Linked DNA regions of Diceros bicornis minor. The protein of the gene in region 1 interacts with the protein of each later gene in a biochemical or structural test. Links are inferred from orthologs where the notes say so. Each region holds a gene or a part of one and is shown in the gene's direction. Other genes may lie near its edges.

Region 1 (14,965 bases):
ATACAGCTTAAGTTATACAGACGAATGATGTTATAGGGACTTTATTCATAATCACTCAAAACTGGAAACGTGGGCCGGCCCCATGGCTTAGCGGTTAAGTGCTCGCGCTCCGCTGCTGGCGGCCAGGTTCGGATCCCGGGTGTGCACCGACGCACCGCTTCTCCGGCCATGCTGGGGCCGCGTCCCACATACAGCAACTAGAAGGATGTGCAGCTGCGACATACAACTATCTACTGGGGCTTTGGGGGAAAAAATAAATAAATAAAATTAAAAAAAAAAAACAAAAAAAAACTGGAAATGTTCCAAATAGTGAATAGATAAACAAACTGATGAATATATAAACTGTGGTATGTCCATACAATGCCATACTATTCAGGAACAAAAAGAAACTACTAAAACATGCAAATATATGAACCTATCAAATGATTTATGCCAAATGAAAGAAGCTAGATTCAAAAATCTATTTACTATGATCGCTTTATATAACATTCTGGAAAAGTCAAAACAATAAGTACAGAAAACATCAGTGATTGCCTGGGCTGTGGGTTGGGGGAGGAGATTTACTGCAGTGGGGCCCAAGGGAACTTTTGGGGTGATGGAAATTGGGGTGAGTGGAGTGGTGTTTATACAAACATATACATTTGTCAAAACTCATAGGACTGTACGCTTAAAAAGGATGCATTTTCACCTCACACCCATTAGGATGGCCACTATCAAAAAAACAGAAAATAATAAGTGTTGACGAGGATGTGGAGAAACTGAAACCTTTGTGCACTGTTGATGGGAAAGTAAAATGGTGCAGCTGCTATGGAAAATAGTATGGAGGTTCCTCAAAAAATTAAAAATAGAATGATCATATTATCCAGCAATCCCACTTCTGGGTATATATATCCAAAATAATTGAAAGCAGGATCTCAAAGAGGTATTTGCATACCCATGTTCATTGCAGCATTATCCGCAATAGCCAGAAGGTGGAAGCAACTCAAATGCCCATCGACTGGTGAATGTATAAAGAAAATGTGGCATAGGGGCCAGCCCCGTGGCGTAGCAGTTAAGTGCGTGCGCTCCGCTGCTGGTGGCCGGGGTTCAGATCCCAGGCTTGCACGATGCACCACGTGTCAGGCCATGCTGTGGCGGCATCCCACAAAAAGTGAAGGAAGATGGGCATGGATGTTAGCTCAGGGCCAGTATTCCTCAGCAAAAAGAGGAGGATTGGCATGGATGTTAGCTCAGGGCTGATCTTCCTCACACACCAAAAAAAAAAGAAAAAGAAAATGTGGCATATGCATACAATAGAATATTATTTGGCCTTTAAAAAGAATGAAATCCTGTTTCAAGCTACAACATGGATTAACTTTGAGGACATTATGCTAAGTGAAATAAGCCAAAAAGACAAATGCTGGTATGATTCCACTTATATGAGGTATCTAAAATAGTCAAACTCATAGAAACAGAAAGAATTGTGGTTGCCAGAAGCTGAGGGGAGGGGTAAATCGGGAGTTATTCAATGGGTATAGAATGTCAGATTTGCAAGATGAAAAAATTCTAGACATATGTTGCACAGCAACTTGAATATAATTAACACTACTGAAATGTACACTTGAAAATGGTTAAGATGGTAAATTCTATGTTATGTATTTTAAACCACGGTTTTTTTAAAGGGAGGGGGGAATTTTACTGAATATAAATTATATCTCAACAAATCTGACTTTTTACAAATGACTGAAAATCTTCATTTTTTAAAATATTTGCTCTTTGCATTATAACTTTGTAGCTCTTCATATCAAAAGTGAAGTCTATTTTTCCGCCTCTCGAATCTAGTCTTAGCCATGTGACTTGATTTGGCGAACAGAATGTGGCAGAAGTAATGATAGGCCAATGATATTTTGATTTCATGTGGGCGGCCACAGCATTACAGCCCCTCAGTCTAAAGGCCTCCTTGTTTAATTAATTTAACAGCCTCAAGAGAACTTGCGTATTTCCACGCACTCCATTGGATTTCTGAGCCTGCCCTAATAACAGCCAGCCTAGCTTGATAGAGGATGAGAGATTTGTGGTTCCTTCAACCCTGTTGCCACACAGAACCCATCAGCTTGCCCATCCCTGAAAGTTTACTACAGAAGGATTGACATTTGACTGCGGACACGCGAGGGAGGCCCGCTAAACTCAGCATTGTCCAGGTGAGCCTGAGCTGTTGAGCCACGGAATCATGAGCTTCATACATGTTTGTTTCAAGCTGCTACATAAATGTTTTAAGCCGCTAAGTTTGGGCTGGTTTATTAGGTATCAATGTCTACCTATTTGAGGAAGTTTTCACAGATGAAGAGACATTTGAATGGTATTTTGAAGGATGAATAATGAATAGGCGTTTCTTTTCCTTTTTTCTTTTCTTATTATTTGTATCTTTTTTTGAAGGTTTTTTTTTTTTTTTGGCAAGGGTGTCGTGGAAATACCCCCAGTCTATTCTGGCAAATAGGTCTCATGATGGTTGTGGGGTGTCCTAATTATTTTTTCCCTTAAGCCATTGAGAGAATAGCACAGGATCATCTGAAATAAAGTACAGAGCCCCTGCCTCAAGGAGCGTAAAGTCTATCTGCAAAGATGCCAGGCAAATGCCAGGAGAAGAAAAAAAGGCATTAGAACTGGCCTCAGGGCCTAAAGGATACCAAAGCCAATACTACTAAAACTTTTACTGCAGTACCACCCCTTGGTATTTAGCCACACAATGCTTAATTTTATTTAACTTTTCCTGTTTTGATGCGTTGTGCCATGCTGGGATTGTGTAACTTTGAATTTCAAAAGCAGAGACCACATCTTCCCTATCTGTGTCTCTTCCTACAGCGACTAGCACGGTGCTTGCCATTTAGATACTAAAAAAAAAAAAAGGTTTCGAGTAAATGGGGTTCAGAGGGGGTCAGGTATTTTCCATAGCCATCAGCTCCACTCCAGACTAGAGTGGGTGTTGCCACTTAACTGTGGTGTCCTGGCTGAGGGCCAAGGCTTAATTGTTGATGCCCCTTCCTTTTCTGCTAGCCACTGTTGAGTACAGCGGGTTCACAAAAAGGCTCATGACAGTCCTTAAGAAGCCAGATGTGAGGGCTCGGGAGGTTCAGTGCCCACAGCCCTGTGAAAGGCAGAAGCCAAGGCTACGCTGTGGGGAATTCACACCCCGATCTGTTCACTCACCTCTTCCAGGTTGAGGTGCACTGGATTCTGTGTCTTATTTGACAATGGGTGTTTTTGTTTTTTTTGGTTTTTTTTGGTAAGGAGGATTAGCCCTGAGCTAACATCCATTGCAAATCCTCCTCTTTTTCCTGAGGAAGACTGGCCCTGAGCTAACATCCATTGCAAATCCTCCTCTTTTTCCTGAGGAAGACTGGCCCTGGGCTAACATCCATGTCCATCTTCCTCTACTTTATATGGGATGCATGGCTTGATAAGCGGTGCATGGGTCCGCAGCCGGGATCCGGGCCTGTGAACTCTGTGACTGTGTGAACTTAACCGCTATGCCACTGGGCCGGCCCCACCAATGGGTGTTTTAAGACACAGCCCAGTGCCCTGGGTCAGCTGTCTCAAGGATTTCCCCCCAATCTTCTTCTTTGGTACATATATGCTCATTATTTTTTAAAGTGTTGCAATTATAGAAATTTATAAAAAAGAAAATAAAAATTATCAGTTTCCAAAGACCCAGAAATGATAACTTTTAACATTTTGGTGTATATTTATTTTATATATGTGTGTGTGCGTGCGTGTGTGTATGTGTATAAATTTAATGCTGTTCAAACTGTTTTCCAATCAACAATATACCATAAATATCTTTACATCTTTCCATGTCAATATGCTTCCACAACAACATTTTGACATTTGTCTGGTATTTCACTGTGTACCATGATTTATATAAATAATCCATGTTTGTTGGCTTTTAGATTGTTTAGAGGTTTTGATTATCATCAGCAATGCTTCTATAATGCCCTTATATGTATATTTGGGAGCACATCTTTGATTTGAGCTTAGGGTATATCATAAAAATGGATCTTCTAAGCCAAAGGATATGCATCTAAGCCTTTGCTACATATCTGTGATATTGACCTCTAGACATGTGTTACTAGTTTACAGTAACATTGTATAAGTTATTTTCCAAACCTCTTCACAAACATTTTTTATTATCTGTTGATATTTTTGTTAATCTGTCCCAAAAACTTTTAATGTTTCCTGTAGATGACTTTTCATATATTAAGTGCAAAAAGTAGAGACTAGAAAATGAAATATCAGCCAAGTGCTTGTTTGCTCGTTTGTTGGTTTGTTTTTATTTTTGTTCTGCTCTGTGTCTGGAAAAATCAAATTAAGCTGAAAAGCTTGACTCATGAGGAAGCCCCCTTTCACTTCCCTGGAGCAAGGCAGTGGAGACCCACAGATCCTGATATTAGTGATTACTGTTTTGGAAGCACAATGAGAACTGATGGCATTTCTCAGTGTCATCGAACTTTTCCATTTTCTGTCAAAGTTTCATTTCAAATACCTTCTAAGGCCTGGGTGTACTCTCTTGGTGTTTGTGATGTCTCCTACATTTCTCTTTATCTACTCTTCTGCACACTGTGGTCTAAAGGTGAACTATGAAAAAAAGAGCCATATATTAAACTTGCAAAAATTGGAGGCCAAAAGACCAGGATTCTAATACTGCCTCTGGTACCTACAGCTGAGCAAGTTACTTAGCCTGTGTAGGACTTCGTTTCCTAATTGCAAATAGCTCTATTGAACAGTCCAGGGGTGGTGCTGGTGGCTGTGGATGGGGAAGGAACCCGTGGAGAGCCTTGACTAAATACATACTTGTGCCAGATACCGTGTATATATTATCTCCCTAAGTAGGCATTATTTTCCCCCATTTTAAAGATGAGGAATCTGAGGTTCAGAGATGTGAATTAAACTGCCCAGTTCATACAGTGAGTAAACTACAGCTACAACATGCAATCTAGGTTTGCCTGACTCCAAAGCCTTTTCTAGGTATGAGTATATGAGTAACAATGGGAGTATTTTCATTTATCAGTTCACTGAGTATTTATTTAAGAGCTATTTTGCGCCAAACATTGTGCTCAGGTCTGGGACTTCAGTGGTGAATAAATTAGATATGGTCCCTGAATCATGAAGATTGTAGTCAACTGGGGGGAAAGACACATTGAAAAAATAAAGATATGAATATATGATTATCAGTTGTGATTTATACCATGAAAAAATTACAGGGTGTTGTGAGAGAACAACAGGGGAGACCTAGTTTGGATTGAACGGTCAAGGAAGACCTTTCAGACTGAGACCTAGAAGATAACTAGCAGTTAGTCAGTCAAGGATGGAAAGAGCATTTCAAACTTTCCAGGTGGATAGAGCAGTTGAGGGTAGACAGCTGATCCAGCTGGTCCCCAACAAGGCTCTTCAAGGAATGGAGATGCCCTGATGATGGCCACAGCCAGCTTTGGCCATGTCCAAGTATGTGGTATTTCCTTAATACGTTATGTATTGGGGAAAGTCCTGTCCAGACATGGAAGTGGCCTCTCCCTTCCCTTGGAAATCCTGGCATGCCATCCAGTTTTGCAACTTCCCAACCTGTTGCCAATCAGCTCTGCTGACCTATTGGCCTCACCATGCATGGTGAAGCTCATATCATTGTTCCTTGATTGGTTCTCCACGTTCTATAAGATCCATAGAGCAGAAAGCTGGAGCAGAGCATGTCTGGGTACTTTTGTCCACAAAGTATCTTCACTTTACCTGGAACGTACCTACTGAAGATTTAGACATCCCAGAGAAAAGTTGCTCAGCCTTTTGACTAGCTGTATAGTCATAGGCTCAGGAAATCCAGCAATATTTATTAAATGGAGTCAATATTCTGGATATCGGTGGAAAGGATTAAATGGAATAATCTTTCTGGATCCTGGAAGATGAGATTAAACTACATACTCTTTTGGATAATGGAGAAATAAATTAAACTGAGCAACATTTCTGGATTATAGAGAGAAGAATGAAATGTAGTCACTCATTCTGGATAATGGACAGAGGAAGAATATGACTAACAATTCTGGGTAAGGATAGATCATTCTGGATAATAGGGGAAGGGTAAAATGGAGCCACTTTTCTAGGTAACAGAGGCAGGCATCCCAGAAAAGGAAGCAAGGTAGTAACACCTTCAGCCCACAAGAAGTAGCCAACAGGAGAGACTATGAGCAATGACAACTTCCTTGTGTGGCTATCCAGCACAAACAGAGGAAGCTGTGCCTGGGGAGGCAGGTGCCCTGGAGTTTGTTTATTGCCAAGGCCTTTCATTGCTGCTCCATATGGCCTTGGGCCAGTGGCCCCTTACGAAGTCTCAGCCACGGTGTTCTTAAAATAGAGCACATTTGTGACCCACTCAGGCTTTCATAGTGACAGAGATACAAAGCTAGCATCTTCTTGGAACTTCCCAGATCAGGGGACCTAGGAATCAACTTGGGGATGCTGAGAGTGGGACAATATAGTCATTCAGACTTAGGAGGTATTACAATCAGAAGGGAAATTAGTCATATCCAGTCTAAACCCTTCATTTTACACTTGAGGAAACTGAAGCCTAGAGATGGGAAATGACTTGCCCAGGGCCTCATTGGCAGATCACAGCAGAGCTGGGACTAGAACCCAGAGTCCCCGACTCCTGGATTGCTTCTTCACAATGCCAAACTTAAAGCCGTCCTGTAGGAATAGAGAATGGCCTTCTGGCGGAAGGTCTGGGACTGAAATCAGAGACAGAATGGAAAGACGAGAGGAAATGAGTATGTTAACATTTCACAAAAGCCTTCTATGAATTAGGCACAGTGCCAGATGTCTTTATGTATTTTTAAACCTCATCTAATCCTCTCAAAAATCCCCATGATGGAGATATTATTGCCATTTTACAGCTGTTGAAACTGAGGCTCAAAGAGGTTAAATAACTTGTCTTACACGTGGCCAAGCCGGTATTTGAACCTAGGTCTGCTTGCAAACAGAGCTGGAGCTTTTTTATCCCAGCACACCGGAAACATCAATTGGTTCTCAAGATTCTCACTGATGTGATAAAACCTGGGACAGAAATGAGGCAAGACTGGCAGCATCTACCTTCTCCTATGGAGAGTAGGAAAAGGAGGAGTAGACAGTTCTTTCCTCAGGCATGAACAGAATATCAACTCTATTCTGCAGTCATAGTTTGTGTTATAGAGAAATTGCCATCTGGATAAATTGAGGGTCTCTGCTCTCATTTTAGGTGTGGTGACTCCAATGGCTATCTTCCTTTTGGCCTATGTACTCTCTCTGCTCTTATGAATATTTTTATCCCAGTCCAGTCACTTATATTTGGTTTTTACACAGGTTATTTACAAAATTTTGGATAGAATTTGCTTCTGAAACATCATTGGCCAATAGCCACAAAATCCCTTTCATTACTAACTTCTATGCCAAGTTTGTTAAGAAATTAGATCACCTTCAGATGAATTGTTAATAAAAGCTAAAGTTATACCCAGTAGCATGGATATCTTTGGGCTCTTGGCCAACAAATAACCATCTGTGTGAAAGAAAACAGACTAACAATTTTGGACTCTGGTCTCTGGCCACATTGAGCATGTAATTACCTAAATGTAATTACCTAAATTAATTGCCTTTCGGGTTGTGTTCTCTCATCAGCAAAACTTTTCCCAATTCAAACCATGTGGGTTAAAATGAGAAAACAAAAGCAAAAACTGCTCCCACACCCAAAAGCCCCCTCTGTCAGGGCTCCCAAGTGGACCCGGGAGAGCTGTTAGAAGGCTGAGAGGGGCCATCATCATCGCATACCATACATAGGTGGAGGGCTTGTTATTCTCAGTTCCCGCCCATGAGAGGATACCCCTATTGTTTCTGAAAATGCTGACCAGGACCCACACTTCCAACAAAAATTCCTCTACCCCTACAACCACAGCAGCAAAAGCAGCAGCAGAAGCAACAGCAATAGATAAGTGTTTTGATGAATTGCAAGATGGAGAGGGCTCGCACTGCCCCCAGCCCTGCTGATACCAAATGCCTTTAAGATACAGCCTTTCCCATCCTAATCTACAAAGGAAACAGGAAAAAGGAACTTAAAACTCCCTGTGCTCAGACAGAAATGAGACTGTTACAGCCTGCTTCTGTGCTGTTCCTTCTTGCCTCTGACTTGTAAACAAGACCTGGTAAAACATGCGAATGGAAAGTCAGAAACCTCTGGGTGTTTGAAAGGATCCTTGGGACCTCATGCACATCTGCAGAAACTGGATGGAGAGATCTGGGGAAGCATGGACTCTTTAGCTGGCTTAGTTCTCTATGGAGTCAGCTTGCTCCTTTCTGGTAAGGTTTGGCTTTTTTAATTTAGTTTTTTTCAAACAGTTAGTGATTCTGGGCTCTCTCACCAACTCTTAGTGCTGGTTAACAAGGGGCAGCTGTGGCATAGGGGCTGCTTCTCTGTGACTCTCTGTTTAATGTATTTAAGGATTGAAATTCAAAGTCCTTGTGGCATGAACTAATTTTTCTAGACTTTCTCTTCTGGATAATTGCCCCCTGTGTTGCCACAGACTCTATGAGAACTGATTAGGTCACTTTATTTGAAGAGACACGCTTACTGTGGTGCATTATTTTATTGCTCCTTATTTGGGATTATTTCCTTATTTTTTAAAAAAGAAGAAACTTGGCTTTACCTGCTCCAAAGAAAATCTTCAGTAATTTTTTAAAAATGAAATTCATGCTGAGAACTATGGGGACCTACTTAAGGCAGCGTACAGATTGTCATTTTTAAATGAGAACAAAAATCCTTTTCTATAGAGATTTCGTATCAACATACAGTTTTAATCAAAGCAGTCAAATGCTAGGCTTTTTGTTTTTTCTTATAGTTGGGGTCAGGGAGATTAGGGCTATATAATTTTTGTTTTGTTTTAAAAAATACTTGGCATACAGTAATTCATAAAGTCTTTATTGGCCCAGTGAAATGAAAGTTTAGGCAGTCACTAAGATCACTGGGCACGGGAGCATATTGAAACCTGTTGTGGAGCTAAGGAATGGTTGGCCTGAATGTTGTTAGATTTAGTGTGTCTGTTGCTCAGATTCTCTAGCTAGTGGCATGTCTCTGCTGTTCCCTCAGCCTATGGGACACTGGCTGAAAGGAGTATCAAAACCTGAAGTGCACATCACAACCATGATTGCCATCAATCTTTCCCCTTCACTTTGAAAGCATTCTAATTATTGTACTGAAAATAGAATTGATATTGGAAATGAACTTGGGAAAATTTACTGAACTTAACGCTGCAGACTATATTATATTAATAGAATTTTAGCCAAATACACAGAAGTATCTGCTATATTATTTTTATATTTTTTCATGTTTGAAATATTAAATATTCAAAAAATTAATCCAATAAGATAACAGAATTGTATGTAATTTGTTTATAGCTCTTCAGTTTGCTTTCAACCACCAATTATATTGAGGATTTAATAATATTTTTAAAACTAAGAATGTGTAATACAAATTGCTGAAAATGAAAGATTACCTGAGATGGTTTCAATATTTATGTAGAAATTGTCTATATTAATGTAGAAATGTTGATTTCTCCAATAATATGCACCTTTAAATCAAATAATTATCATGATTCTATTTTGGGTTTGCTTCTTTTCTGTGTGACTTATTTATACATGATATGAAATCTGTAACTGGTTCTATCCTAGGGATTATAGTAATGCAAAGCCCACGGGTCTACAATTGCTCTGAGGTACTTTTTAGGTTAAATAATACACATACACACACAACTGTTTTAATTCACTTTTCCTCAAAGTGACTATGTTATAGCACTTTGCAATACAGGCTCAGAGGAGCTGTCATAAAATCAAACAAAAAAGTTATGTGGCCAAAATAGTTGCTCCATGTCTAGACCTCAGTTCACTGTAAATACAGCACTGACTTCAGCAGGGAGAGGCCCAAGGAAAGGGGTTCGTGCTCTTATTGGAAAGGAAGGGTAACACTAACAAGGTTGTTTCTGGGGTAGGTCTGTTGTGTTGAATCCTAACTTACATTCCTGGTCTAAGCCCCCATGAACATGAATAACCAAGGCTTGGTACTTGCAATAATAAGAATCCAGCATGCTCATGTCTACAGGCAGAAGAGTCCATTCCTCAGACGAAACTCCACTGGTGGACTACAGTAACGGAGCAAGGGACTTAAGGCTTGTGGGTTTATCTCTCTAGTACAGTGGGTTGTTTCTCATTCCTTTTTTCTGAACAAATAGAACTGAAAAAATATGTCACATTTGCCTCCATGAAGGTGGCTCTGGGTGGCAAATGCTGGCCCATAAAAGGGTTGGTGTGTAGTTTTCAGAAGCCTTCCCCCAAACCCACCTAAATTCTGGTAGATTCTCCTCCCAACTGAGAATCATGGCCAATTTCAGCTTATCAACAAGTTCTAATAAACGCACTAGCTTTTCCCTACTCTTCCATTCTCACCAAACCAGGCTGCTTTCTCTCAAGAGTCGTATATACAGAAAAACAAAATGAAACAAATCACTCTTTCTGCTTTATCATCCTATGTCCTATGCAATCAACACAATCTAGTGGGAAGTCTTTAGTAGCATGCCTTCTTTTCTGTCTCATTTGACATTCTAAATAACAAACTGGATTCAGAGATAGTGGATAGCTTGTTTGGAGTGGCAGAGAAAATTTAGTTATAAGGTCAGGGAAGTGATCCCAGATGGAACCTCCTCATTAGAGCTGGTCTTGGAAGGCTAGTATCAAGTCTGAGTAATCAAGGGTGGAGATCTAGAAGCTGGAATGAGAGACACACCTAGGAATTATTCTCAGAGGGAGGAGTGTTCTTTCTTCACGGATGCTCCCTTCTAAGCATTGTCTTTGTTGGGAAGTCTCAGCATTGCCCTTTCAGCCCTACCCTGGGAGAGCTTCCTGCAAGGTCTAATTCTTCTAAGACATCCGTCCAGGAGGGAAGGACTCTTCCAAGTCCATCTCAGAAGACTATGCTATGTCCTCTGGGGGATTCAGATGGGTAGGCCCTAAATTTTTCTGACATTATCAATTTGTCTCCTGGGGCTCTACCGCTAAAAAGATATGTATGTGATTGTGTCACTTATTCCCTGTAGATGGCTTGTTGGTTAGAGCACAGAATCAGGATTTAAATATGTGTCTCTAGGCTAGAAGGATGGGACCAAACACTAAAATACCATTTCAAAATAGATTAACATCAAGTTATGCATTTGGGCTCAATAAATGAATTATATTCAATGTGAGAGAGACCATAGTGAATGACACCCAAGCTTTGGTGATACGCAAAATTCATAGGCGCCAACACACACTCTGCTTGCTAAAAAGGTAATATGAGTTGTAATAGTTTGCATTAGTAGAAACATAAGGTCCAAATTAGAAATGGTAATCACTTCACTTCACACTATTGCTCAGGGCATGTCCATGAAACACTGAAGACACTGAGAAATTTGATAGCAAGCATAGTAGGCAAAGAGGAATGTAAGTGCTTTAGAAACCATGTCATATGGGAATATTTAGCCAGTAGAAAAGAGATGAAGAGCAGCATTTGTAAGGGTTTCCATATAAAGGACATCCTTGATTGACATTCTACTTTGCCAAATCTAGGATCCAGGGTTGGAAGGAGTTGCACAAAAGACAGAGTTTGACTTCATTGATGGAAATCTAAAAAGTGAATCGTCGCCTCCACGAGGAGGAGTGTTCAGGCAAAGGTCAGATGATCATCTATTAGGGATGTGAAAAGAGGATCTGGAGTGTAATGTTTACTGCCTTTCACATCCTTTTCATTTCACTGTCTGTGGTTCCTCACTGATCACTGGGCAGGTGGATAAGGGTTCAGAAAAGTCACAAAGATCTTTGCCCAACAAAATCAAACTGGTGTGTTTCCTGAGTGCAGACCCAAATATGATCAATTTACACTGAATTTTGACTCAATCAACATGCCTTATGAGAAAAAAAAAAAGGCACATGCACACGTACTATGGTGACTCTTTTTTTTAAAAATTTTTTTGTGAGGAGGATCGGCCCTGAGCTAACATCTGCCAATCCTCCTCTTTTTGCTGGGGAAGACTGGCCCTGGGCTAACATCCATGTCCATCTTCCTCCACTTTATATGGGATGCTGTGACAGCATGGCTTGCCAAGCAGTGCGTCGGTGCGCGACCGGGATCCGAACCGGTGAACCCCGGGCCGTCGCAGCAGAGCGCGAGCACTTAACCGCTTGCGCCACCAGGCCGGCAGTGATGACTCTTTTGAAGCCACTGCTCTGTGGGACTGAGGTAGAGCTAATCAAGAATGCGGGAGAAGTTAAGGGTATGGATTGTGAAGTCACAGCCCTGGGGTTAAGCTTAAACTGGATGACCATGGGCAAGTTACTTGATTTCTCTAAGTCACAGTTTTCTCATCTTTTATGGATGGGAATACCTATTTCCCAGAGTTGTTACAAGCATCAAGTGTGATAATACATGTAAAGTGCTTCACTAGTAAGAACTCTCTTAATAAATGAAGCCAATGTAATCAAAAGAGAAGTGTTTCTGTTAGGACCACTGGGCTAGTTCAAGACTGATCTAACCTTTTATAAGATGTAGGGGAGTCACTTACTACTCATAGAAGCAGTCTCCTTCTAAAAGACCTCCACATAATCCAGTTCCTCAAATTTTCTGCTGGTCACTCACCACTTGAGAAGCCAGAACACTTGGCCTACTATCCAGTGCCTCCCCTCACCTATCCATTCATCTCTGCTCATGGCCATTCTACTTCAACCAGGCCCATCTCTGCAATCTTTGCATTCTTTCCTCTTGGCTCTTGTTCACGCTGTTCCATCCATTTGGAAATGACATTCTCCATGTCCACTCTGCAAACACAATTCAACTCAACTTGCCTAGGCCAACTCTTCCTCATGATGTCCTTCCCCTAATTCTGAATTCTCTTCCACACAGGCCATGTCTTTGAGCTTTGGACACATAGATTTAGCCCAATTAGCCTCTAACATTTTGACAACAGATATTATTTCTTTTTTATTCTCCATAGTGCGTGCATTTAATGTTCAGTAATCTTTATTGAATGGAGTTTAATATTCCATAGTAAGAAACTATTGGGATGCCACAGCAGCACTGAAAGAAAGAGGGAACATTGTGGAAAGAGTTTTAGCCATGTTGAAATAATAATAACAACAATAGTAATAAATCAACTTCATAAACATTGCAAGTACTATTCACTCATATCTTAAAAGTTGGCTTATGTTAAATATTTGATGTAAATAAGGCCAAAAGAAAATCCCTTTCTTCTCTTTGGTGTGAAACGTAAAAGATATACTCATGAAATTGGGTTTAACCAGGACTTTACCTAATATTAGGTATTGTACAATTGTTGACTATTACCCAAAAGATATGAATACTTTTTATTCAGTAGACATTTAATGAGTTATTGCCTGCCTATCATTCATTCATTCATTCATTCAACTCTCATGTCAATCAGTGAAGACATATGGAGGACTTACTTTGTGCTAAGTACTGGACTGGACACCAGGAATACAACAAAGGCTGAGTCATTTTTTCCTCTTGCTAAACTCACATTTTAGTAGGAAAGATGACTACAGGCAGATGAATTATAAGATGTTGTGATAAATGATATAATAGGGGTATATACAAAATCTAGTTTTTTAAGAGCTACAAAAATTTTTATTGGCTCCAGTAATAAAAGATGAAACTTTAAAATCTAAGTTAAACATAAATGATTAAGTGTCTAAAAATGTCAACTTTATTAGTTTCTAAATTTAGTAGGAATAAAATTAATAATATTTGAAAACAATCTGTAGGTTAGATTTTCTTCACTTTGCAAGAACTCCTAAATAGTCATGAATATTGCCAAAAATTATGGCCTATCATGATTATGAGTTACTCATAGCCAAATGATTTTAACACTAAGAAGATAAAAAGGAAAAGGGAAAAAAGAGCTTTCCATTAGAGGGAGCAGGGGGTATAAAATAGCAAGGCAAGCTCAAGGAAGTTGAGTAAGGCTGGAATGTAGGGTGGAGGTAGAGAATTAAGGTTGGCGTCAGATCGGGAAGGGCCTTGTAGGCCATTTTAAGTAGCTTGTCCCTCATTCTCTACATGTTGAAATTTAGTGTGGTGTTTGTTCTATCATGTCTGATTTGTGTCTTGCAAAATTCACTCTGCTCATAGTGTGGAGGATGCATTGGCGTGGCAGAGACCGTAAGCCTGGAACAATTTGGCTTCCCAATACTCCAGGCAGGAAGGACTGGATGAAGTGGCAGACTGAAGAAGGGGATGAAGAGGGGGATTGAGAGTGTGTAGGAGGTGAAACTGTAGGGGTGGTGATTGGTTGCATATGGGAGGTTGAGTGAACAGCGAGAATAAGTGTTGCTCCGGGGTTCTGTTTTGGGCAATGGTGGTGCCATTCAGCGTGCTGGGAAATATGGCAGAAGGACTTGCTGGAGATGTGCTGGGTTGGAGCAAATAATTATTTTGTACATTTTGATTTTGAGTTTTCATGTAAAGGGGGATATTGAGCAAAATTTGACTCTCTGGGTCTGAAGCTCGGAAGAAGAGGATTAGGCATGGGATTGAGACATAGGAATCATTAGTTTATGGTAAGTGAAGCCGTGGGCATGGATGTATACCAAGATTTAAGTGAAGGGAAGAGAAAGAGGAGATAGCCAAGGGTTCTATGAAGAAGCAGTCAGGGAGCTGGTAGGAGAGGCAAACCCAATCAAATTCCTTTCCTTAGATTTTAGAGAATTGGCGTTGTAGTAGCTAAGGAAAGAAAGAGTTTTAAGAAGGGGACAGTAAGATGGGGGCAGCAGAGTGACAGCATCTGGGCCTAGTGTGGGGACACCAGACTGCAGGTGTGTCGTTTTACAGAGAGCCAGCTGCACTGATAGCATTACTGAACCAGAGCTGGAAGGGATGTCA
Region 2 (14,920 bases), on another chromosome or scaffold:
ATGCTAGTCCCCTCGGCCTCTGGGGCCAAAAAGCCAGGACACTCCCATTGTTTAGAGGGGAAACCAAGGCCAGAGTAGATACCCCGGGGGAGAGACAAGTGTTGCTAACAGCAGAGGCAGCTGTGTTGGAGGCCCATCTGGCTGGGACTGGACTGGGCGCTGATATGCTGGGCGACTTTGGACGAATCCCAGGGCGTCTCTGGGCCAATGTCTCTGGCAGCCCCGATGGCAATAATCCTGCTTCCTGCTGCACCTTAAATTATCAGAGGGTCTGAAGGACATTTTCATGCCAAGAGATGCTGGATCTTTCCAACAATAGCAGGGATAATAATAACAGTTACCAACTCTCGAGCACCTAGGGGCTAAATACTGAAATGTCGTTTTCTCATCCTGCCCTCCTGTGGCAGACTGTATTTTCCACAAATGGCCACAACATCTCCCAGCCCACACGCTCTTCTGAAACCTCGCCACTCCCCATCAAGAGGTAGCCTGCTCCCCCACCCTGGAACTTGGGTGGGACTTTGTGAGGCCTCTATGAATGTATGTACAGGAATCGCCCCTGTGTGATTTGTGAGGCCAGGTCACGAAAGGTCATACGCCTCCAGCCTGCTCTCCTGAGATGCTGGCCCTTGGAACCCAGCCACCACACTGTGTAACCAGCCCCGCCACGTGCAGAGGCCGTACTAGTTGTTCCGGCTGATAGTCCCGGCTGAGGCCTCAGCGATGTGAATGGGTGAGCTTTCAGACGATTCTGGGCTCCAGCCTTCAAGCGGCTGCAGCTGATGCAGACCGGAGCAGAGTCAAGCCGTCCTCACCGACCCAGGCCAAGATTGCACATTTATGAGTAAAGTAGGTGTTCCCAGTGTTTTAAATCACCAAGTGTTGGGGTACTTTGCTACACAGCTCTGGGAACTGGAAGACTCTCCCCTACGCCTTGCTAGCGGGAGACCATCCTCTCCATTTTATAGACGAGGAGACCGAGTCTCACCTACTGCAGTGGAATCAGGAGTCAGTGCCAGGAGTGAGGGGCTCTTAATCGCTGGACCTCGGCCACGGGGGTGACCTCAAAACCCAGCCTGGGGTCCTTTCGGATCCATCAGTTGTGTTGTGGCTCTGGGTTTGGTGTGGAGGAAAGAGGAGACGGGGAACAGTTGACAAACAGACTACTGCCTCGGGTGGAAAGTCTTATGGGGACCCCGTGACTCTTGCTCTACAAGATTCACCCCTCGACCTCCCAGGGACACTGATGGATCATCCCCAGGGTTGTCAGCTGCCCCAGAGCTTCCTGCCAGACCTCACGACGTTGCCCTCAGTGGCCCCAGGAGATGCCCAGGTACTGTCCTCGGGGACGTGAACAGAGCAGTACAAGAGGCTGGGGCGCGCTATAAGCTGCCCGGTTTGCAATCCTCGGTTACCGCCCTGGGTGCTGAGAAGCAGGGAGCTGAAAAGGGAGGGGCTGGAGGACGTGCTGGATTGTGGAGATGAGGCCAGGAGTGGGAGACTCAGACTTGTGGCCTAATCTTCTCTTTGGATCTGTTAAAAAGCAAAATTCAACTGAGTAAATTTTAAAGACCTTATGGGCTTTATTCAACCATTCATGAACTGGGCAGCGTCCCATCCAGCAAACAGAAAGGAGCTCCGAGGAGCTGTGCAAAATGGAAGACTTACAGGCAGAAGGGAGGGGACCAGGAAGTTATAGCAGCAAAAAGCGGACTGATTGTGGCAAGTCACCTTCCTTTAGGGGACAGCGGGGGTCCGTCAGGCAGATTGCCTCACTGTGCCGACCAGGTTATTCCTGATTGATTGGTTTAGGATTCCATGCCTGGGAAAGCCGAAACTGTAATCAAGTTAGGCATCAAGTCTCGGTTTGGTGACATGGGTCTTAGCATAAGTGACTCCATTTTGAGCCTGTTGTCTTGTTTTTAACAGATCGAAATACTTGAGGAGCCCCAAATCAGCAAGTGACTCTCCAGGAATCATCCCGTTTCCCTGCCTTTGTTCTCAGGAGCAGGAAGATCAGTTCTTCCAGGAAAATAGATTCCAGTGTGTGACTTTGTGCAAGTCGCCTCCCTCTCTGGGTATGTTTCCTCATGAGCTAACCGCAAGGTAAGGATCAATGGCATCCACGGTCATGCCAAGGCTCCACTGGCTCTGGAGAGGAAGCCAATTCACTCGGTGAGTGGCCAGGATAGGGAAGCAGATGGGCAGGTGTTTTGCACCCATCAACATCCATCTCCCTCTTGGTCACTCTACCCCAGGTTCCCTTGAGAACCACCCTACCCTTCCTTCAATCCTTTTGGGTCCTATGAGGTTGACCCTACTCTAGGCCTGGGCACATGGCCAAGCCTGACCAATCAGAGCATCCCATTCCTCTAGCTACAGTGGTTGGTTTGGGAAAGTCCATGTGACCCAAGCCAGAACTTTCCCCGAAAATATCAGGAAAAAAGCACTCCATTTCTAGGGGGTTGGTAAGTTAATAGATTGGATCTGCTGCCAGTGGTGGAGGTGATGGTGGTGGAAACTGTCAGAGGATGAAGCCAACAGAGGAAAACAAGGGCCTACAGCTGGAGAAAAAGGAAAAAAAAAAAGATTCTTAATATCATTTGAGCACCTGGATCCAGCTATGCCTGAAGCTAGCTAGACACCCCTACACTTTTCGGTTACATTGGCCAATAAGCTCTCTTTTTGCCCAAGCCCTTTGAGCAAAAGCCAAAGTCTCCAGATGCATTTTCTCCATGCTCTGCCTCCAAGGCAATAACAGGCTAGTAAAGGGAAAATAAACCAGGGGGAATGGGGGTTGTTTTCAGTGTTTGGAGACAAGACACTTGAAATACCCCAAACAGAAACTTCCTGCTGCCCCTGCCCTGGAGAGAAAAGGATGACTTCCTTAGTTTCTACTTGGGGACTGCAGCTCCAGCCCCCACTCTCTAGTGGAGACTAATCTTTCAACAAACACCCATGAGAACCTGCTATGAACCTGACCTTAGGACAGGCAGCAGACACAGAAGGGGAAAGTGTGGTCAATGCCCTGGAAGGGTTTCCCGTCTAGAGGGGTATACAGGCCTGCAAACAGGCCTTTGTAATGCGGGTGAGTGCTTTTACGGGGGATGCACAGGCAAGGGGCATTGATCTCCCCAAGGTAGAGGGCCTGTTCCCACCAAAGGAGGGAGGCGGATGAGGGAAGACTTCCCGGAGGAGGTAACGCCTGAGATAAGACCTGAAAGACACGTAGAAAGAAGCCAGTGAATAAAGTGGGAAGGATGGTCCGAGCAGACGTCACCACAAGAGCAGACACTGAGGTCGGAGAGAGCGGAGAGCGTGTTGGAAGTAAACCAATTCCACATCACAAGTACAGAGTCCAAGGGAAGAGCGATGAGGCCGGGTCCTGCAGGGGTTTGTAAACCACGTCAAGGGCTTGGAGTTTAAAACTGACGAGTTTTAAGCAAAGTCAGGAGCTGGATTTGTGTCTTAGAAACATCTCTCCGGCTGCAGCATCCAAGATGGATCAACGAGAGTGCAGTTCTATCTTGTCCCCTCGGCAGAGATGGAGCGCCCCGGGCTGAGGGTGACAGTGGGGACATGAGGACATGGTTGGCTGTCATTTATGGAGCACTTAGCATATGCTGGGCTCTGTGTTAACCCCTTCCCAGGGATCAGCTTTTCAACCCTTTAGCAATCCTATCAGGTAATGACTAGTATCAACCCCATTGACAGAAGTGGAAACTGAGGCACAGGCAGGTTAAGCAGATTGGCCAAGACCGTACATTTGGGAGGCAGGACAGCAGAACTCCAGTCTAGACAGGCTGGCGCCGGTGTGCCCGGAGTAATGAAGAGTGGGAGGAATATTTGAAGGGTCACGTTGGGAGAGCAGGTCTGATTGGGCAGCAGGGCCGGGACAGGTAAGGGAGGAGCGAGATGCTCAGGTCTCCCTGCAGGACCGGCTGCATAACTCGAGGGGCCCAGTGCGGAATGAAAGCGCTGGACTCTTTGTTCAGAATTTATTAAGACTCTCAGGACGGTGACAGCAGAGCATTAAACAAAGCATGAGACCCTTCCCAGCACGGGGCCCTGGGCAACTGCAGAGGTGGCAACTCTGCTCCCAGGCTTCTGTCCCTGGTGCCTGGTCAAGGCTGGGCGATGCCAGTGATGGAAGAATCCAGGAGAAGCTCATTCGGGGCGGAGTCGGGAGGGTAGGAAATGGGGAGTTCTGTTTGAGACCTTGGGGGTCGTGTCCAGAAGGCGGGTGGTCCTGCGTCTGGTTCTCAGAAGTGAGGTCGGGGCCACGAGTCCACACACAGAGCCGTTCCGGGTCCAGAGTTCAGTGTCGCCTTCGGGTACCGGCACGTGGGCTCCCTGAGCTCACCAGCTGACCCCAGGTGGCGCCTTCCCAGTTCCCTCTCTGGGTCCTGCCATCAGCTCCTCCCACCTGCTGCCACCTTGGCACCTGCTGCTTCTCGTGGGAATGGCTGGTTCCGGTTTCCCCTGAGGCCAAGAGGTCACTTTGCAAACCCTCAGCCTCTGCGCTAGACTTATGCCCAAGCCACCTTGGACACTGGCTTTGGGACCTGGGTTAAAGGTCCTCAGCGGCCTGGCAGTTTGTAAACTCTCCCGAGAGCTGGCCTCTGCGAAATCTCGGGGGGACGTGGGTCGAGCCTGTTCGCGCCCTCCCACGGGAAGGCGTGGGACACTGCGGAAGACAAAGAGGACACTGCGGCCTGGAGTGGTCAGCCATCTGCCCAAGGCTGCCCAGCGTCTGTGTCCACCCGGGTGTGCCCTGTTAGTGCAGCCCCACAGCGGCTCCCCATCAGCCCAACGGGGAGAGCCTGGCTCGGGCATTGCACTCACTCACTCACTCATTCATTCATTCATTCAGCAGATCTGGACTGAGAACACACTGTAGACCAAACGCTGAGGACAGACAGAGAGAGATGAGAATCTGCACAAGGGATGGCCCTCCCGGCCCCTTGAGAAGGGCCGGGATAAAGCGGGGACTATAAGAGGGAGGTCCTGACTTAACACCTGCACAGGGCCGAGGGCCCGTGTGAGCGTGGATCAGTTCTGCTGCCGTAGCACTTCCCAGAGATGGCTACGGCAACGCACCTCCCATCCCGCGAGACTTCTTGTGACGATGACACTGCTCCATCGAGAGGCGGGGTCTGTGTTCCCTGCCTGGATCCTGGGCAGACCCCGACCAATGGAATGTGGTAGATGTTCCACTGATTGACTTCAAGGCCAGGTCATGGCCTAGGGGATGTCAGGGTGTCCTAGAGGAAGGCGATGTGACTTCCACCTGCTCTCTGGGGATGCGCACATTTGTAGCCCTGAGTTCATGTAGGAAGCCCGGCTGCCTGAAGCCCCCAAGCTGAAGACACCACCTGAAGACACCATGGTGGGCATGGGCTGCCCAGGTGCTGACAGGCGAGGGGAGACGCCTGTGGGTTGACCCCAGCTCAGCCACCACCCGACTGCGATTTCATGAGAGACTCGAGCAGACCGTCCAGCCGAGCTGCTCCCGAATTCCTGACCTACAGAAACCCTGAGAGACAATACTGTTTGTTTTAAGCTGCTCACTATTGGGGTAATTTGTTGGCAGCCACAGTAACTGGGACACTGGTGAAAGGTGGGGGCGAGGGTGGGTAGACAACAGTGTTCTGGACAGAGAAAGCAGCATATGCAAAGGTCCTGAGGTGAGAAGGAGGTGCTGAAATGGAGGTGCAGAGTTGGCAGGGCCATATCCCAGGCTCTCCAGAACTCTTCTTTGGATCCTACCTACATTTCTTCTGTGGACAGGTAATTCTGTCTCCTCTTCCGGGCAGAGGGCTGCTAGCATAATTATGGGGCCCATGTCTGTTTAACTAAGCCTGTGCTAAGCCTTCCTGTGCAGGGAAGGAGACTACATTTCATTCATTCATTCTTTCGATCAATAAGATTAAAGGCATTGCCTGTCTCAGGAGCTTCCCATTGTCATCCTGGTGCCCCAGAGGAGGTGTTCATGCCCTCTCCAGTGCACGGATGAGGAGACTGAGGCTGAAGGGTGGGTGTCCTCGCCCACTGCCCCGGGGATACCCGGGAGGAGTGGGAGGGGCTCTGGGGTCAGCGTGGCAGCTGAGCCTGCCCACCTTCTCAGCTCTGGGTCAAATAACATGCTGTGTGACTTTGGGCAAATCACTCTTCTGCTCTTCGGTTTTCTCATCTGTGAAATGGGGACGATAGCGGCGCTGGCCTTCCCGGGATACCACACGGCTCTTGACGCATGCTAATGACAGCCGCCCTCTCCTCGGGGCTCGTCTGTGCCAGGCTCTGTGATATACTCCTGGCCTGCATTAACGCGCTTCTTCTTTGAGAGGTCGGAGGTGGGGTGACCCCATTTACAGCTGAGACAGTTGAGGCCAGGCGGGCGGGCAGGGCTCTGAGCGCACGGGAAGCTCAGGGAACTCCAGTGGCTGATAACCAGCTGCCTTTCCTCTTCCTGCCAAAGCCCCACACACCTGGTACAATGTCCTCAGTCCCCCGGATGAGCCTCTACATCGCCGCCGCCCCAAGCAGCCTGCCTGGTTCAAAATTCCATCAGCATTTGGGAAAACAAAGGGAAAAAAAAACAATACCAAGCAGCTGGCCTGGCCCCCATGCTGGGAAAATGAGCAGAGAAAGCCGGAAGGCAGCCCACCCAGGAGAGGCCCAACCAACTCCCTGGCGCCTCCTGCCCAGCGACGCGTCACCCAAGAACAAGTCCCTGCCCTCGTGGGGTTTACATTCCAGCGACTTGTGGGAGGGGAGATACACTATAACTATGACGCTGACAACAGCAATAAAAAATCTTTATTTAGTGCTCACCCTGTGCCAGCACTGCTCTGACTCACTTAATTTTCACACCCTGTGAAGTGGATGGTATTATTTCCCTCAGTTCACCAAGAGGAAAAGAAGGCACAGACAGGTTAAGTGACTTGCCCAAAGTCACACAGCTGGTAAGTGGTGTAGCCAGGATTTGAACCAGTAAACAAGTAAACTAAAAACTCCTCAGTCTCTATGCTTAGGACTCACGTACATTCCTCATGCAAGAGATGGGGTTTGCCTGGCTTAGAGGTCGGGATGTGGAGGCCCAGAGAGGCGAAGCCGCCTGCCCGGGGTCTCACGGCCAGCAGTTGGGAGCGGGATTTAGACCAGCCACCTCTGACTCCAGGGCTGGCCGAGAGACCGCTGCACCCCCGAGCTCTTCTCCCCGCATTCCACCTCCCTGCTCCAGCCACAGGCGGCCCCGGAACAGTCTGCCCCAGGACAGCACAACCTCTCATTACTGTCACAGCAACTGAGCCAGGGCCACCCCAGAGTCCAACGTCCCCCCAGGCCCCGAGGGAGAAGGGAGGACGGGAGGGCAGGAGCCAGCTCCCAGCTGCGCGCCCACTTCCCTGGCCTCTCGAGGATTTTCTGTGCCTCCGGAGACAGGCGGGACTGGCTGCCTCCTCCCCAGCCTCACCCCTCTGCCCCCTCCCTTCGCTCTCCGGGGGGTCACTTTGCTTTTGTTCCAAGTGCTAACATGGAACCGGAGGGGGGAAGGGGGAGGGGGAGAGGAGGGGGTGGCGTGGGGGGCTGAAACTTGAGATCCCCGCCTCGGTTGGGGGAGGCTGGAGAGAGAGACAGACAGAGAGACAGAGACAGGAAGAGAGGCTTCAGTTGCTTTTGGTTTTCCGAGGCGGACAGCACTGGGGGGTGGGTGTCTGCGTGTGTGTGAGTGTGTGCGCCCGTGTCTGTGTGTGTTGTTTTCTGTCTTGGCCTCTCGCAGGGAGGCCGGGCCCCCACTGGATAATCAAAGGACCCAGAGGCGGCCGGTGCATGGACGGCAGGACAGGGCAAGAGTGAAGAGGAAGGAAGGGAAGGGGGAAAATAGAGGTGCGGGGGTGTCTGGGGGCGGGAGCAGGAGGCGGTGGGAGGAAGCGAGCAGCTGTGGTATTTGGAGCAAGTATAAATAGCCGCCTGGACGAGCTCGGCCAAACAGTGGTTTGCAGCTGCAGCCCTGCGGGCAGGCGGTCCACTGTCGGCCACACGGGTTCGTCCTGGGCACGGAGTTGGGCAGTGGGCAGGCAAAGCCCCTGGGGGCTCTGACCGGACACCCCTCGCCATCGCCACATCTCCTGATGCTCTCCCGGCCAGCCATGTTGCTGGGCGGCCTCCTCCTCACGGTGGCCACCATGACTGCAGCCCAGCGGAGGGGGCAGGAGGCGGGCGGGCGCCGCCGGGCGCACCGAGTCCAGCATGGCCAGTGCAGCTACACCTTCGTGCTGCCCGAGCCTGAGCCCTGCCCGCCGGAGCCTGAGGCCTTCGGGGGCTCCAACAGCCTCCAGAGGGACTCGCCGGCCGCTGCACTGAGCCTGGGGGACTGGCCGGCCCAGCGGGTGCGACAGCTGGAGAAGGTGCTGGAGAACAACACACAGTGGCTGCAGAAGGTAAGGGCTTGGCCTGCAGAGGGGGTGCTGGGGGGCTCTGGGGTCTGTCTCGATGGGCAGGGGGCGTGTCCGCCCCAGAGGCCTTCCCTGGGCACAGAGGGCCAGGCTGATGGGACCCTTGTCTCTGAATTGTACAGATTGGGATAATGAGGACCAGAGAGGGCAGGGATGGGCCTGAGGCCACACAGCAAGACTGGGCAGGGTCAGACTGGAAACCTGGCTCCCTAACAGCCATTCATTCATTCATCTGATAGAAATTCACTGAGCACTGACCACAGGCCTGGCCCATCCTAGATGCTGGAGGATACACAGTAAACAGAACAGTACATGCCCTTCTGGACTAGTGGGGGAAAGGGGCGAGAAAGAGATGAACGATGAATACCTGCTGCGTCAGATGGTGAAGCAAAATGAAGGAGGGTAGAGGGCAAGGAGTGACCGGGGTGGCTATTTGAGGTCAAGTAATTTGAGAGGACTTCTCGGAGGAGGTGGCATTTGAATTCAGAGAACAAGTGAAGTGATGGAGCCGCCCGTGCAGGTATCTGGGGGAGGCATTCCCGGCAATGGACAGCAAGAGCAAAGGCTGTGAGGTGGGACGCAGTCGGGCACCTGGGGGACAGCAGGGCAGCCGAGGGGCTGGGACAGAGAAAGAGGGGGAGGAAGGGGTGAGGGATGAGAGCCCAGGGAGGGGAGGGCACATGTTGGGCCTTGAGGCCACTGGAAGGACATTGGGTCTTGCTCTGAGCATCTCGGGAGCCACTGCAGGGTTTTGAGCCGGGAGAGACACACCTGATTTGATTTTAACAGAACAGGCTGTAGGGGGCAGGACGGGTGCTGGGAGCCCAAGAGGAAGGCCACTGCAGCCGCAGGCAAGAGATGATGGAGGCCTGGAGCGGGATGGGCCAGGGAGGGGGGTGGCCGGTCAGGTTCTGGAGTATTCTGAAGGGGGAGCTAACAGGCCATGCTGATGAATTGGATATGGGGTGGCAGAGGTCAAGGAGTTGAGGACTCCACCACCATTTTGGCCCAAGGCCGCTCTAGGATCTTCTGTCTCACTCTTAGCAAACACTCTGAGCACCCACTGTGTTCCCAGCCGGGGTGAGGAACTGAGGTGCAGAGGTGAAGGAGGCGGGCTTAGCCAAGGGTGGGCATGGGGGCAGAAAAGGCATCCTGCGGGGTCCAAGAAGGGGCTGGCCGCAGCCCCTAAGTAGCAGCTGCTGAGAGAGAGAAAGGGCCCGGGCACTTGGCACAGCAGCAGCCTGAGCGGCGGCTGATGGGGAGGGGAGTGGACCAGCTCCCGGAGCTTCGAATGTGTTAACCAGCAGACAGCGAGTTTTAGACTGTAAGGAGAGAGCAGAGGAGGAAGAGGCAGCCCACAGTGCCTCTCTGAGGAGCAGTCCCTTCTTACCCCACGGGTTCCAAATTATTCACATCATGTTCCCAATCAGCAAACAACGTTTGCTCCCCTGATGCCTGCAGATTTGTTTAATATTCATGCACATGGACCCATGTTCATATAACACGTACAGGGTACAACACATATGAAGATAGAACTTAAAAAAGATGACAAGAAATCATGTGAATTGAAGGTCTGGTAGTTTCCTCCTGTTTTCCAAAGGATGGCCCTGTGCACACCCTGAGACGATCTGTTCCCAAGATGCAGAGGCGTAACGTATCTAACCAACCTGTGTCATGCACACTCGTGTACACACTCGTGTGCGTGCACACTTAACATCTTATCTCATACCTGCCCCGACCACTGTCTCCTCAGCCCCTCACTCACCATCTTGCCCACTCGCCCTTCTACCCAGCTGCCCTGCAGCACATCCAGCCTGCCACCATCCCACCCCAGATCCCCCTCGAGGGAGCTCTTGGCCTCACACACTGGAGCTCTCAAATCTGTGTGTATCTCTTCAGGCAGCTGTTTCCAGTCCCATAAGGGTCATTCCAAATCTTTCCTCCTCCTCAAGCCTCCATCTTCACCCCCCTCATCCTCTCACCGGACCACAGGCCTCCTACTTCAACAAGAAATGGAGCCGAGGGGAGAGACGCCTCTCAGCTGCTGCCCCACACTGCAGGTTCACCAGTGCACCTGCCAGTCCCCAGAGCCTTTCTCTGGCCCAGAGGAAAGGGGTTCCTCCATGGGCCAAGGCCACTCTTCCCTCCTAGGCTGCGGGTCCCTCCCCTGCAGCCCTGCAACCCCTCAAACCAACCATCCTCTCCTGTGTGCCTGACAACTCCTCCCTCTCTGCTGGTCCTTCGCCTCAGGGTTTACTCGCATCCCAGTATCTCCCCTGTTAGAAAAGGAAGAGGGAGAGGAGGGGAAGAAGCCTCTTCTCCACCCACAGCCGCTTGGACTTCTGGCCTGGCTCTCAGGAGTACACACACTCTGCTTCCGCCTCCTCACTTCCCACCGCCTCCTTCCCTGAAGGTCGCCTCCCCATCCACTTCCCGCTTCCCATGGCCATGGCCCGGTCTTCATCTGACTTGACCTCTTGGCGCATTTGACATTGCTGACCAACACTATCCTTCCAGAAACTGTCTCCATCAGCAAGTCCTCATCTACAAAACATACCTACTGGGACCACTTTCCCAACCTCCACAGCCCCACCCTGGACCTGCCACCTCCGTCTCCTACCTCGACGGTCATCACGGCCACCGCCCTGTTTCCACCCAGGCCTGTTCTTCACTCGGTAGACAGAAAGATCCCATTAAAACCTAAGTTAGATCCTGTCCCTCCTCTGCTCAAAACCTTCCCGGGGCTCCCATCTCTTCAGAAGAAGAGCAAAAATCCTTACTGGCTGGAATACACCCCCCTAGACACCCACGTGGCTCACCTCTGGCCTCCCTCAGGTCTCTGCCTAAGTGTCACCTCCTCAGAAAGGCCCTCCCTGTCCACCCCATTTAAAATAGTCACCTCCTGTCACTCTCTGTCCCTTCACCTGGCTTTGGTTTTCTCTCTTAGCACTTATCCCACCTACTCTTAAAAGCATTTCTTTTGGTCTGAGAGCTCCAAGGGGGCAGGGACCACATCTGTGTTGTTCCCTACTGGGTTCCCAGGGTGTAGGACAGTGCCTGGTATGCAGTAGTGCTCGATACATGGCTGTCAAATGCGTGGATGCATGGATGCATGGATATGTAGGCGCATGGACGCATGGGTGCGTGGGTGCATGGATGCGTGAATATGGGGGTGCATGGATGCGTAGATGCGTGGGTGCGTGGATCATGGATGCACGGATTCATGGACGTTCCTCCAATCTCCCAGGTCACTCCCACTCCTCCTCCTCTCCTGCAATGTTCGTGTTTCCCAGGACGTAGTCTTGAGGCTTCGTTTCCTCCCACGCTTCATGGCACTGCCCCCAGGGCTGTCCCCAACACTCCTGCAGCACCTCTCCAGCCTGCTCCATGATGACATCAGATTGGCATCTTATGGACTCCTGAGCCCCAAATCCATGACCCTGACCACACCCCCATGCCGCCGGGCATCTCCCCTCTGAGGGCCCCTGGTGTCTCAACTCCAAAGCTGCCTGAAACTCAGCTCTTCCCTCCCCTGCCCACCTCTCTCTGTTTGAGGTATTACCACCCAGCCAACAGGCCTCCTGCTGCCAAAGCCAGGTGAATGCTCCTGGGGTGGCATTCACCCCACCTCACCCCCGGGTAGCAGGTCCCGTCCATCCTGTCACCTCAGCTTCTCTCACTGGCCTCCATCCTCCTGTCTCCCTGGCTGCTGCCCTGGCTCAGGCCTCGTCACCTCCCACCTGGCTCCTCTACCCTAAGTCTCACCCTCTCAACCATCTGCGACTCCCCTGGGTGCCTGGTGCTCGGGCAACACTGGCTGACCCAAGGGATGGATTTAAAGCGGTGGCTTTTGAGTCAGAAGGCCACCCAGCTCACGTCTTCAGCCGGCAGTGGAATGTCCTCTCCAGGTGTTTGTCCACCTAGCCTGACAGTCCTGGGCAGCGGTCACCATAGAGCGCCATGGGGCTAAAGAGCACTGCTGTGGGAGCCAGGCAGACCCGAGTTCACATCCCAGCCCTGGGCTTACTTGCCACTTGGCTGTGGATGAGCGAGTCTCGGTTTCCCCATCTGCAAAATGGAGAAAATGACAGGATGTCAGGGGGTGGCCGGGGAGACCTGCGAGGACGCTCACATGCTGCTCTCAGCCGCCGCCTGGCTGCAGGTCAGGCTTCGGGATGACGTCAGGTTGCCCATGTGGGCAAGGATGCAGTAGATTGATGGGCTTTTATTGAATTCAACATCATCTCTATTTCGAGCCCTGCACCCCCGGGTGGGGAAGCTCGGTCTTGATCAAGACAGTCCCAGGGTGGCAGGTAACCTCGGGGCTGGGAGTGTCACTGTCCAAGATGGTGTTCTCGAGGGGTCCCCAGTCCTGCTTGGTTGCTGGTGGGGTCCAAGCTGCTGTTCGTTGTGACTTCTCCTGGGTAAGGGGCCCCTGGGGTTAAGCGCTCCCTTCATGCCCCTTGGTGCTCGGGTCACTGCCAGGTCACCCGGTGCCCGTGGAGCCTGCCATGAGATCAGACCCATCGGCCTAACCACACCTGGCAGGCACTTTCCCTGGGTCCTGTCCTCCTTGGGGAGCAGCATAGCCTGGAAGGTGAGAGCCCCAACTCTGAAACCCAGCTGTTGGGATTAAAGAATCGTCCTGCCCCTTCTTAGCTGTGTGACCTGGGGCAAATTGCTTCACCTCTCTGAGCGTCAGTCTCCTCGCCTATAAGACGGGATGACAACACTACTCACCTCTGTGAGGATTTAACAAGATGATGTGCATGAAGTCTTTAGCCTGGTGCCAGACATATAGTAAATTCTCTATAAATGCTGGCTGTTTCCGTTAGAGGCTCTCCTAGAAATAGAAACACAAGTCCTGCAATCCTTGGGTCCTTCCTCCCCCAGCTGAGACATGTGGCCCCTGGCTCAGGGATACACAGCATGTGAACAGTCATCCCTCCGACTCCCCCGGGCCCCTGTCATGGATGCCTGCTACCTTCTGAGGCTGTGACCTTCCTCTGGCTTGTCTCTCGTGCATTCTCTTGGTCTGGGCACATCTGAGTCTTTGACACTTGAAGGCCTCTTTTTGGCTTCTGCTATAATATCCCAGAAGAGAAAAAAAACTAGTTTCAAAATATTCTTATCTAGTAGCATCATCATCATCACCATCACCACTTGGGGTGACCAGGGATGACGGAGGGGGGCGGTGCCTGGCCAGACCGAGCACCCAGCAAGATTCCGTTCATCTGGGTGGGTGCAGGGGCGCTGTTGCAAGTTCCCAGCAGCCAATGCCTACCCAGCCCATGCCCCCAACCCCTCTCCTTGATCCCCCAGGTGAGAAAACTGAGGCTGGGGAGGGGAAAGGACTTGCCAGAGTCACACAGCAGCGAGAGCCAGCCTAGATTCTCACTCCAAACTTCATATTCTTTCTCCTAACTCTGGAGGGTGTCAAGGAGATGGCGGAGGCAAGATCTGAGCAACAATGGGCTGTTTCCTTCTGCATCAGAATTCCTGAATCCCAAGATACCCACTGTCTCCTCCCAGCATGCAGCTGGCTGATGCCCTCCTGCCAGTGCTCAGAGTGCAGGGGGCAGAGGGTGCCTGCTCCCTCTCCCCCTCCTTACCACTCTCCTCTGCAGCCCTCCCCCTCTCCTTCCTTCTACTGTTCTCCCCTTCCTTCCACCTCTCTCCCTTCTCTTCCCCCTCCTCCTGGAAGGCCTCTGCCCCAGTAACTCACGTCTGGAGTTGGTGTTGTGGGGTGCACATCAGCTCTTGGCTCTGCTCCACCCCTCATCTGGGTGAAAAGCTGAAAACCCACAGCCAGGAATGTTGAGGGGGTGGGAGGACAGAGCCAGCTGGAGAGCAGGCTTCTGTAGCTGGGCCTGGCAGCTCAGTGGTTAGTCACATGGCCTCCCGGGGCCCATCTGGCACTCGGTGCCTCGTCTGTGGAGAGCATCTCCCGTCTGGGAGATGTTCTCCCAGAGCCGGGAGAGCATCTGCCCACAGCAGGCGCTCAGTGGAGGCTCCTCATGTTCCTGTCATTCCCTCAGCTACCCAGGTCTCCCCGCCAGGAGGTGCCACACTCTGCCCTCTCCCACGCCCCCCACAGGGTTCCATTCTGCAGATGAGGGAAGTGAGGACACCAGGGCTGACACAAACCCTCAGGCACCCCAGCCCACCCCCCGCACCCGAGGGCAGCACAGCTTCCTCTGAGTCTCTGGGGTCTCAGGGGCAGGGAAGACTCTGAACCCCGAAACTGTGGGGCCCCCCACTCTCTTGCCTGCATCGGCACCGGGCCCTTTCTACCTGTCTCCCTGTCTGTCTCTGCCTCTCTCCAGCTCCGCATCTCTCTGCCTCCTGCGGGTCTCTCTCATGGTGGCGCTGACTCACCTCTCTGACTCTGTAGGTGTCTCCGTCACTCGGATTCTCTCTCCTGTCTGGCTGGCATCTCCGTGAGTCTCACCCCTGTCTCTCTC

What was found.
Region 2: the proteins of TEK (region 1) and ANGPT4 form a complex in vitro, tested with the Homo sapiens proteins (2 studies listed by BioGRID and IntAct). The link is inferred for Diceros bicornis minor from reciprocal best matches to the Homo sapiens genes TEK and ANGPT4.

The regions. Positions count from the first base shown.
Region 1 is NC_080761.1:48,411,020-48,425,984, forward strand, and holds the start of TEK (angiopoietin-1 receptor), read left to right. Parts: upstream 1-8,220; 5' UTR 8,221-8,294; coding exon 8,295-8,346; intron 8,347-14,965. UniProt on the Homo sapiens protein: Tyrosine-protein kinase that acts as a cell-surface receptor for ANGPT1, ANGPT2 and ANGPT4 and regulates angiogenesis, endothelial cell survival, proliferation, migration, adhesion and cell spreading, reorganization of the actin cytoskeleton, but also maintenance of vascular quiescence.
Region 2 is NC_080758.1:29,007,384-29,022,303, reverse strand, and holds the start of ANGPT4 (angiopoietin-4), read left to right. Parts: upstream 1-7,991; 5' UTR 7,992-8,132; coding exon 8,133-8,441; intron 8,442-14,920. UniProt on the Homo sapiens protein: Binds to TEK/TIE2, modulating ANGPT1 signaling. Can induce tyrosine phosphorylation of TEK/TIE2. Promotes endothelial cell survival, migration and angiogenesis.